Drosophila melanogaster: one gene and its partner. The protein of the gene in region 1 purifies or fractionates together with the protein of each later gene. This does not show direct contact. Each region holds a gene or a part of one and is shown in the gene's direction. Other genes may lie near its edges.

Evidence for each region.
Region 2: the proteins of Magi (region 1) and RASSF8 purify together in Drosophila melanogaster (affinity purification with western blotting; one study listed by BioGRID). This does not show direct contact.

The regions. Positions count from the first base shown.
Region 1 is NT_033778.4:21,139,030-21,143,926, reverse strand, and holds the start of Magi (magi), read left to right. Parts: upstream 1-1,665; 5' UTR 1,666-2,388; intron 2,389-4,131; exon of another isoform or gene 4,132-4,326; intron 4,327-4,694; 5' UTR 4,695-4,897. Other genes in the region: Xbp1 (X box binding protein-1), read right to left, coding at 1-50; CG9406 (uncharacterized protein), read right to left, coding at 730-828, 881-1,091, 1,144-1,381, 1,440-1,452.
Region 2 is NT_033777.3:25,659,861-25,666,281, forward strand, and holds RASSF8 (Ras association domain family member 8), read left to right. Parts: upstream 1-1,934; 5' UTR 1,935-2,554; coding exon 2,555-2,626; exon of another isoform or gene 2,627-2,773; coding exon 2,774-3,147; intron 3,148-3,289; coding exon 3,290-4,010; intron 4,011-4,077; coding exon 4,078-4,388; intron 4,389-4,449; coding exon 4,450-4,795; 3' UTR 4,796-5,780; downstream 5,781-6,421. Other genes in the region: Tnks (tankyrase), read right to left, coding at 732-927.

The DNA.
Region 1 (4,897 bases):
ATTGCTGTCCGCGGCACGGTAATTAGCACTGTGTTTGCTGTGGGTGCCATGTTTAACTGGTTCGGGGCTAAATGATAAACTGCTGTGTGCTGTGTGCAATTGTGAAAAGCGACTTTCCACTTAGATTTGCATTGTAAGAGCGTATTTTAACTTTTGCTTGTTTTAGGTCGTCTCATGAACTTCGACTGCGCTTCTCGGACGCTCTGCTGGTTTGAATCTCTTCATCGCCGCCGACTCGGGCTTTTCTGGCTCCGTCTCACGCAATTTTCTCATCCACCTTTGCAATATCGACCGACCAGTTTTCCTTTCTGCTGACGTGTTCTTTTCCGAATGGCTGTGAAAAGCTGACGTGTTTTTCTAGAAGAGTTGGGGTAATGAGGGATGGAGCAGCACGTATCGGGCTATCGATTACAAATTCAGTTAATTTAGAGCAACGATGATTTGTAAAAGCGCTTAAATGTATTGTAAATTTTTTTTTATTGGATTTAATAAATATATTGTAACATTTCAGGCAATATCTTAAAACAAAAAATAGTTCCTTAAATTTTTCACACAATTCATTTTAATATCCAAACATAGAACAACGACTATGCCATCTCGAATTGCGCATGGCAGTGTGACCGTCTATATCTCAATGTGGAACAGTAAAAACGAGAAAGGAAATTATTTGTTATAAAATGTATAAATTTATTTTCCGCGTTATTTGCAATTGCTTGATTAAAGGGGCATCTAAAACAGTGGTTGTTGTGGTTTCTTGCCCTTTTCTTTTTCGGCTTGTGCTAGTTCCTCCTTGATAACCTCGGCAATTTCATAGATATCAGGCTTGTGCTGGAAATTTTAGATGAATCCAATCAAAAGTAGTTGGGAAATGCGATCTTACCCTGAGTTGATTTATGTAGAAGGTGTAGGGAATGTGTCCAGTAATGGGATCAATTGCCACAGGCCACATAGCATCCAATTCTTCAGCGGAGAAAGGTTCTCCTTCCTCCGCCATTAATTTGCCGAAGTACTCCTTGGTCAGATATTTTTTATTTTCTGGATCCAGGGTCTCAAAGGCCTCGAGAAGCTTTTCCGACGAGGCTGGTTCCATTCTGTGGACAAATATCGTTAGTTGCTAAACAAACCTAAAGTATATTGAATAACTGTCGATCCATCAGCAGTTTGGAAACGTGTTCCATGAACTTCACCAAATGGGCTTCGCCTGGATAGTCGACGGAATCGGTGGCTTTAATGACATCTTCGACCTCTTTTTCGGTGGGCGCGCAACCTAAAAATCGGAGCACGTTGCCGACATTGCGGGAATCAATATACTTATCGCCATGAGTATCAAATATGCAAAATGCTTCCGAAATCTTTTCCTCGAGTTCGTTGTTTAGGGTAACTACAAAAGGTTAGTGATATCAAGCGGAGGTGCGATGCTCATTTTATGTAATGCCTACCACCAACTTCCATCGCGGGTATATACTTTAGAATTTAATAAATAAACTGATAATTTTAAAATACGATTTATTTTTTCCTGATTTATATGTTTTCTGATTGAAGCATTATTAAAGGTTTGCTGTTTATATTTCGAATTTGAAAATAACGATCGGAAATCGATAATGGCGCCAAGCAAAGGGTATCGCCCCTGTGGTCATACTAGGTGTGGTGAATATCGACCGATAAGCATCAGTCGATAACTGCCTGCGAAGCAGTCGTGTTGAGCGTCGCGTTATTTTGTTTTCTGTTTTGTTTTTCGTTTCGTGTTTTTAATTTGTTTCCCATTAATTTGCAATTAAAGTTGAGACAATCGTTTAGCTAAAGATTTCATGTTACCCAAACAGTGAAGTTCGAGACTTTCCAGTGCCTTTTAAAGGACGAAATAGACTGCATTTGCTTGTTGTCGCTGAGCATTTGCATCTGTGTGCGTCGTTTGGCAGCAACAGGTTTTCCAACTCAACTCAACGCGCCACCTCAGTTTTCATTTGTTTTCGATATTCCGTGGAGTGCGGTTCGCGTTGCGGGAAAATCGAATTGCAATTGAATGCAGCGTTAAATGGAAAACGAGCAACTCGTTTCACATATCGTCGCAGGTGTGTAACGTCGTTCGGCGATTCCAACGGGTTTTCCAGGAGGTTTTTGGCCCACAACAAGTTCAAAAACTTGGCCATAATACCACAGTTAACAAGTGCCACTGCAACTCTCAGTTGTGTTGACAAGTGTATGTGCATGTGTGTTCAGAAATACGCGTTTTCAGAAAAAAAAAGAGAAACAACGAAAATCACCATAAAAATGGAAAGTGTTCGACACTTGGATGCTCAAAACTGATCATCGATCCCTCGCTTAACACTCGTTTTCGAGCCAAATAAATAAGCAAAACAACTCAAAACGGCAGCAGAAATAAACAAGGTGCGAATTTTGAAAGTGACTGAAAATGTTATTTATCTCCCCCATTGACATTTTTCCAATTTCTGCCCATGGCATTGACCACTTTGCTTCATTACCCGATAGAAAGTTTATCTCTGATCGATGGCAATTAGCGAGGCGTGCGTGAAAAGATAAATATTTGCAAATGTATCTGGCACTCGACTGTTGAAAGCTAGTTTCCATGATTGCTGATCAATTTGCATGAAAAAAAGATGATTTTGTTTACTTCGAGCATAACTTGCTAGTTTCTGAAGAACTGTTCATGCTTTTATCAATGCTTACTAGTACTAACAGTTAAGACTTTCTTTTGCTAATAATAGGTTATATCCTCATGCAATCAAATCCCAACTTAAATGTGCAAAAATAAGAAGATAACGTGCTGGCCTAACCACATTTGGATATGATTGCAACTCACTTCACAGTAAACCTCAGGCGCCCATAAACGCCGATGATGAATTTTCCCCGTGCAGTGAAATTGTGGCCTTAACTATTCGCTTTTCACTTGCTTTTCCATAGCCGCTCCCCTTGTTGATTGCCATTTGTTACTAGGCATTTTTTTTCTGGTCGTGCGCCGCCTGTTTGTCGAAAGTGGCCCGATCTTTTTTTTTCCTTTTCCTTTCCTTTCCTTCCTTGCCTTCAACCAACTTTGCTTGCCGCTCCTTTTGCGGCTTTTCTCTAATGGGAAATGCTCAAACGACAGGTGGCTGGGCACATACATTTGCGGTCTGCGAAGGATCTCGGTGTGGCAAGTGGAGCAACCACCATCGCTACCACCATCGCGGATCGTTCCTGTTACGTGTCCCTACACTCAAAGAAACGAGCAGTGGAATTGGTACTTTTAGAGCAATATCCCTATAATTATGGGACACAGAAAACAGACAATATCCAAATCCTTATCAAATCGTAATCCACAAAAGGGACTCTATACGTTTTCTTTTGTGTACTTGTGGGGGTTGCCTTTCGGTTTTCAGTTTTCGTTTTTCGGTTTTCAGTTCTTAGTTCAGTTTTCGGTTTTCTGGCGATCTGCTGGCATACTCTGAAAAACTTGTTTCTCTCCGCCGTTGTTTTGTTTGTCGTTTCTGGAATTCTTGGCTTGGCGGTGCCCGCAGCTCGCTGTGTGCCTCACGGAGTACTCCCCCTGCCCTGTGGCCACCTCCATGCCGCTTCCATCCACACAACGATCGTCGTTGTGCCTTTTTTCTCATTGGAGTAAATTTTTCGCTTGAGGAACTTTATGTTGCTGCCGTGTTTGATGCCCCTTTTTTCGCACAGTTAATTTTCTTATTCCTTACCCCGCGCTCATAATTGTGTGTGTGTCGTGAGTCAACGTTTTCATATTTGCAGCGGGGAAACTAGCTCTTTTATTTTGAAATACATATAAATGCATATTCAAAAGTAGCGAGAGTTGCAAACTTGCCTCAATCTGCTCTGAAAATATAATTTGTTTTAAAACTAGCTGGCTCAAATGTTTAACTGCACCAAATTAAACAAAGAAAGTTTGTTTTTTTTTTTATATATGGATCCAAGTAAACCGAGCTGGTTTTCTTAAGCGCACTTGAAGACTGCAAAAAATGGCTTTAAGTGGCGAAAATTTAAGATAAACCTCGCCATGAAATGCACACAAAAATAATTATAACTATGCGTCTGGCATGGGAAAGTCGAAGCAGCTCGCCGTTAAATTGCAATGTCAACAATGGAGGGGTTTTTTTTTCTGCGGCTATGGTTGCCATGGATACTGACTAGCCTAACTGAACAATCTACTGATTGGCCCCACTTGCAACTGCAGTCTGGACCAAGCCATCGAACAATGCGCTTGTCTGGCCGGGAGCTGTCTAACTGGATAGTTGGCTCTGGGACTTGGTTTGGAGGTTTGGAGGTGGAGAGCGAGCTGGTACCACCCAGCAATGTTGGATATTCAAAGTATGTGGCGATGATTTTCATGCCATGCAGTTTAAGTTGCGGGTATTAAGGAATTTCATAATAATAAAGTGTTGTAAATCTTCAAGCAAGAGTTCCCAATCTCTTGAGATTCCAGTTAATGGAACTCAGCTGTTTCTATTGGGTTGCTAAATATATTGCTTTAAAACACCAGTTTTAAATACATTTTAGCAAATATTAAAAGAGGTCGCACATATTTGCATCTTAAAATAAAAATGAGCATCATGCCAAATCGAACTGAAGCGTTCTTTATTGCTTTACGATTATTGTATGCATACACATGGTAATTGTTTATATTACTTTGCATACTGCTAATTAATGGTTTCTCTTTTGATTGTTCTGTTTTGCAGCTTCACGAACCGGAATGACAGCTCAATGACATAACAATTATTTAAACGGCAAAATGAAGAAGCGTTCAAAGTTTATCTAAAAACATTCACGCAGACAAGCGAAACAAAGCGAAATCGAGACAATCGACAAAAGTATTAAATAACGAAACTCAAATGCAATGGAGCCAAATAGCGCTAGTGCCTGAAAACAATTCAACTGTGTG
Region 2 (6,421 bases), on another chromosome or scaffold:
TAATCATTTGATCACTCACAGTTGAAAAATGTAAATAAAATAAATATGTTAGCACGAGTTATTTTGTTTACCCAATCTAATATTTAAAGGCCAAGCATCTAACTAAACCCTGCGAAACAGGTTAGCTATACAATCAGACCATATGTTGCAGACCTTTATCTATGGGATTCTACGTGTAAACAAACAAAGCTAATCAGATGATATATGTGTGTTAAACATTCAATTTCCAGTGCTGAGACAGTGAAAGCTCTCATTGAAATGGCTAATTATGCAGTGCTATTATCTCGACCGCAGCTGTATGAGTCTTTTTTGAAAATAGAAAATGCTTAAATGCAGCACGCACGCACACATGCAGCGGCAAAAGGGGCAGCACGGGGGATTCCCCTTTTGAGAGGGGGTCTTCCGGAAACAAGCCAAACATATAGAACACATAGAACGGTGGTGGAAGGAGAAGCAGAAGCAGAAGAGGAGGCAGAGCCAAAAGCAGAAGCGACATGGAAACTAGGTCAACTCTCGACGCCATTGGAGCAGGCGAGTGTCCGACCGAGAGCGACGACAATGACGCCCGTCACACCCAGGCGCAACTAGCTCAAGGCCAAATCCGCACTGCAGCGGGGGGTTTGGGCGAGTCCTTCAACCTTTCGTTGGGCGAATGGTGGGGTGGGCTGCCGTTTTTAGACCGTCCTTGGAAGGGATTTGGATGGGATCTAACCGCATCGCATCTCACTTACCCGCTGCGAAATGCAATGGTGTGGATTTGCGTCCCGCCGTATCCCTGGCGTTCACGGTCTGAGGCGTTATTAGCTTCTTCACCTTGGCGATCTCGCCCGTTTTGCAGGCCTCGAAGAGCTCCCTCAGCGGATCGTTGGCCATGACCGCATCGAGATTAACGCTCAAAATGGCCCGACTTCGGCTGCTGTTGGCCATTGTTGTGCTTGTTTGCTACGCTTTGGCACACACACGCCCCGAAAAAAATAGGCAACAAAAAACAAGCGCAATATTCAGTGGGCTTTCGGGTTTTCCACTCCCAGTCCAGTTCTCTCCTCCAGCAGTTGCTCTGCCCGTCCTACACAAGCCTCGCCGTTGTCCGTCGCTGGCTTGCCCGCATCCTGTATCCAGGTGTCCTGCCTATGCCGCAGGAGCAACAATTTGCCACTGGCTGCCACGCGACCAGCCCTCGTTTTTGCTTAATATTTAATGCACAATTGCAGACCCAAAATCAATAGGATTTCTTTGGTTCGACACAGCACGGTTGCAAGGATCGCGGTTGGCTACGATTCGTTTTTACTGAGACTGCGACCAACTCTGGGACTAGCTCCCTGGTACTTGGCCTCCAAAGCTCTGGGCACGGACGATTATTTCCGGATTAATTCACTGCTCCGCGAAATATTGCATTGTTTTGTGACCGAGTAAGAGTGACCGTTCGCGGGGTGGTCGAATATTCCAGGTTGAGTCAAGCGGTGTGACCAGGCGACGGGGCAAGCCATTCTGAAAAAATACTGAAGTCCTCGAATCACATAAGCTTTTCCATTAATTATATTTTTTAAATTTAATAGCTTATGTTCTCACAAGGTTTTACACAAATTTGTGCTTCAGTGTGCACTCACTATTTGGTGAAAAGCGAAAAGACGTTTGCATCTATATTGTGTTATAAGAAACAATTTTTTTTGTTAACCAAATAGACAATATTCAATTGGTGGTACAAAAATTAAGATCATCATTTTTATGAGCTTAAATTAGAATTCTTAAATTAGAAAAGGCCATGTAGGAATTTCAATTATCCTAATATAAGCACATAAGCCTATTACTAGGGAAAAAATCTCAAAAAAATTTTTTAAAATAATAGCAAGTACCTGTTACAACAACATGCAATCCCAATTGGCATTGCTATCGATAGCTTGAAAAACACCTGTTTGGCCATCCCTGGTTGGCTGTTGGTGCAATCGATTTTTGGCATCGACTGGATGCCCATGCCAACAACAATGTTTGCTTTTAAAATTTAGATTAAATCCGTTAAAAATCCGTGAAATCAAAACAAAAGCAGTGGAGCTGCTTCACAACAAGATTATCGTGCTTACTAGAAAGTGAAGAACCACGGAGTTACCGCGCCGGAAGTACAAAAGTAATCACCAAATCGGAAATCCGAAAAGTGAATCAGAATTTTTCTAGCTCACACACACACGCGCGCATACCCGCACGCCCAGCAAACACTCATGCAAGCGTATGGAACCAGTCGTGTTGTTGTTGTTGCTGTGAATAAGTGCAAGTGAAGAAGAAGCAGAAACTGTGATCGGAAAATTAAGCAAAAAAGAAAAACAGGCGAGGAAAAGTGGGGTTGGGGAAAAGCAGACGGAAAAGTGGAAAGGCGGAGTGCAGCTAACACGCTTCGCTGGCTGCGCGACAGCAGAACGCCAGTCAAGCGCCAAAAACCATTAGTAGAACCCCATTTCCAGCTGGAGCGGCACAAGAAAGCAATTTTCTGGTAGCAGAAACACCAAGAAACGAAAATAATTGGCCGATCTTTAGAGACTCGACTCGACGACAATTAGCCGGAATGGAGCTGAAAGTTTGGGTCGAGGGCATCCAGCGGATAGTTTGCGGCGTTACAGTGAACACCACATGTCAGGTATGTGAGCTACAGCAGAGGTCAAAATAATAGCACTATTATCTTGTTAAAGCATTTTACACTGCTGCAGTGCTGTTAATGTGACCCGAACTGTATGCGCTCTGTTTGCTAGTCAGTTTGCCCTAATTATCGTTTTATTTTCCACAGGATGTGGTTTTTGCTTTGGCCCATGCCACTGGAAAAGTGGGCAGATTCACTTTAATCGAAAGGTGGCGCAATAACGAACGCCACCTGGCCCCCAATGAGAATCCAATGAAGCTGCTGCTCAAATGGGGCGAGTATGCAAATGATGTGCAGTTTATATTACAACGTTCGGAAAACAAAACACAGCAGCAGCAGCAGCAACAACAACAGCAGCAGCAGAACAATAATAATAATAACAACTATGCTGTGATGACAACAACAAAAAAGCCGCTGGGGCCGAACAACAATAACAATAATAAGCCAGCGCCCACTTTGCTAAAGCAAAAGTCGAACGTCGAACTCAGCTACCGCACAAAGGAATTGAAAAAAAGTTTCGGGTGGGTGGTTTTTATATGCTAGTTAGTTTGGAAACTACCCCTTAAAGCGCTTACCTAGCCCTAATTGTTAATAGGCTAACAAACTGTGTTTAAATATGCACCTGTGCGGCTACCATCAACTGACAAAACTTGTCTCTTTCAGGGGCCACGATGCCAAGCAGTTTGACAACATTGGAATCGTCAAGGGAATTCCGCAGCAGCAGCAATTGCAGTCACAACAAACGGCCATGGGAGCACCGGCGAGTCCACCACAGGAGCAGCTGACACCGCAGGATAACAATAATGTAGCACCACTGGTGCCAAAGCATGAGAAATCGCTGTCCAATCCGCTGGACATGACCAGCACGGGTAGCAATCCACCCGCACCTACAAATGGCTACAATGACTTCTACAACAATAACAGCAGCAGTAATCAGCATATATACAGCCAGCTGAGCAAATCCAGCAATGAACTCCGACGCTCCAGTCCCAACGAAATGTACTACAACAATAATAACAATATTGTTAATAACAATAACAACTCACCGGAGCTGTACAAGCAAACGCCGACGATTTCCGCGAATGGAGCTCTAGTCCCACCACCATATCGTGACCCGCCACCCCCGAGAAACAGCCCCATGTGCCAGGGGCAGCGTTTGGCCAGCAGCAATGCGGACACCATGTCCAATGCCTCCTCCTCGACGAATCCGTTTCTCAGCGACTACGATCAGCATAGCAGCCACAACACTAATAGCATCAACAATAATAGCCAGGCCATGGAGGAGGGTGAGCCCATGTTCCAGACCACGCAGTATAACGATTTGCTGCAGCTCATCAAGTTTCAGCGGGAGAAGATCACAGCCCAGCAAATGGAATTGCAAAAGGTACAAATATTCAAGTTTCTAAATTGATTTGGAATGTTATTATTTTATTTTTGTTTTATCTGCTTAGTTCGATACGGAAATAGTTTATTTGGAGAGCAAAGAACGCGACCACGCCCACGAGTTGGATGCTATTTCGCGTGAGATTTCCAAGGCGGATCAAATCTTTCGGCAAGGAAGCGAACAGCTCCAGACTCTGCAGTATGTGGAAGAGGAAAACGAATTGGTCAAGCAGCAAGAGAAGACTTTGAAATCAGAAATAGCTCTACTGCGATCCAAGCTGGCCAATTGCGAAACAGAGCTGCTACAATGCAAGAACAAAATGCGCTTGCTGATGGATGACATTGAGCTGGAGCAGCAACATCAACAGCAGACCAATAGGTGAGTGCATAGCAATTTACTTGCTTTGTTTTAAGTTTTTCACACTTCTTGGTTGTTTCAGGCAAACTGTGGAGCGAGACTTCTTGATGGAAATGGAGCGCATTCAGAGTGAAATCGACCAGGCTCTGCACAACACTGACACTTCAAACAAAACTGCAGATAGTTTAAAGAAGGAACTACTCATGATCGAGCATGCCATCGCGGACAAGAAGCGGCAGGTGGAGCAGCTGGTCAACGAGATGAAGGAGGTGAATTTGCAGAGCCTGACTGTGACCACCACGGAGGAGATCAAGCATCTATTGGAAGGACCCAACAAGCAGGGCAGCAGCCGGCGGATCATCGGTTCGCCCAGGCAACTTGAAACGGCGGTTCCAACCAGTAAAAATCCTCATGGTGTGTGGGTTTAAGTCACACATACCCAGAACTATTTTTCTAAACGTATTTCTCCTCCAACAAAATAATGTTTTTGGGAACAAATTGATCAACATATCTTGAATGCATAATGGAGTTGAAACGAAATGGATTCCTTATGAATATCACAATTTTAAACAATATTCTAAAAATATTTACAATAATTAACGTGCTTGATTGTTGTTTTAGTATGTTTACATTCCAATCACACTCTATGGATCTCTCAATGCAATGATATATGTTACAAATTTGAAATCACAATCGTTTTATTACTCTACATTCCGCACTGTACTTTGTATTTAATAGTAGTTAATGAGTCCCATATTCACATGCCCTAATCTTAATTTTGTGTGCTATACTTTTGGTTAATTTTTGCTGCTAGTCTACGTGTTAACAAAAACCCTTTCCAATCTCTACAATTCGCCATTAGTTGTTAACTTGACAATGAATTTTAATTGTTGCAATAATTCGAGAGTATCGTAATTTAAAAACGCCTTTCTAACGAATAAGTAGTGCCCTTAGTGATTTGTCTCCTACAGAATTATTCATTGTAGAATTCACAATTCGAATTACACAAAACTTATTGTACTTAGCAATTAGCGCAGCTTTAAAAAAACAAATTAGCAATGCTTTGTTGAAAAGTTTAACTTTTAAAGTGCTTAGCCTTAGCCACCGGATATCGAAACAAAAGACCGAAGCATTAACAATTGCAAAGGTATCAAGCATTAGTACATACATAATTGCTAGCGTACAATTAAAAGACAACCCACAAGTCGCTTTGATGTATTATGTTTTTAATTAGCAATATTTAATATTTACACAAACTGATGATGATAGTGAACTACAAAACACCAACGGAAATGCAATTTATCGAATATTATATATTACTATTACATTTAAACTAAAAACGATTTAGAACAAATTGTAATTGCATTACATCTAATTAGCTAATAAATACATTTTTATGATTTTCTCGAAACGAACTGTCTGTATTTACATTTGGTTTTGGTCTTTTGAAACACCACGAATTTTCCGCAAATGAAATCAACGGTCAGCCCGAAGTCCTGTGCCACACGAAGCTAGCTGCTCGGCCGCTTTTCTTGTGCGGAGGGAAAAACAAAATCAGCAACACATGCTGCCACCAGCTTCAGTTGGCCGCTGTGCTCGAACGCGTTTGGTCCTTTTGTCCTTGTCGATATCCTTCGCTCGCGACTCAGACTTCCTGGCGAAGCGCGCGCTACTTTCAATTTTCAAAAAGTGTCGCCCAGTGAACGGGTCAGTGAAAGTGGCCCGTAGGAAATAAAGAGGCAAAGGAGCATACATTTGAATGGTCCGTTTTTGGGGGCATCCTATCGCATTGACACAATCGACAAAGTGGTCGAGGGAGAGCGTTAAAGTGGCCCGCCAGCAAAAAGGACGAAGGAGCGCTCCGTTTTTATGGCCCTCTTCCACACCAAATGATGTTCAATTGCGATGATTGCGATAATGAGAGTCCCAGTTTCTCTGTTTTGGGGATCATGCATCGCCGAGACAATGTGACCTTTTGCGGAAATTATGATTTGTCTCCGGCTGACCTTGAGCCCCCCCGCTGGGCGATGTAACCCCCCCCCCCCCTTGCCGCC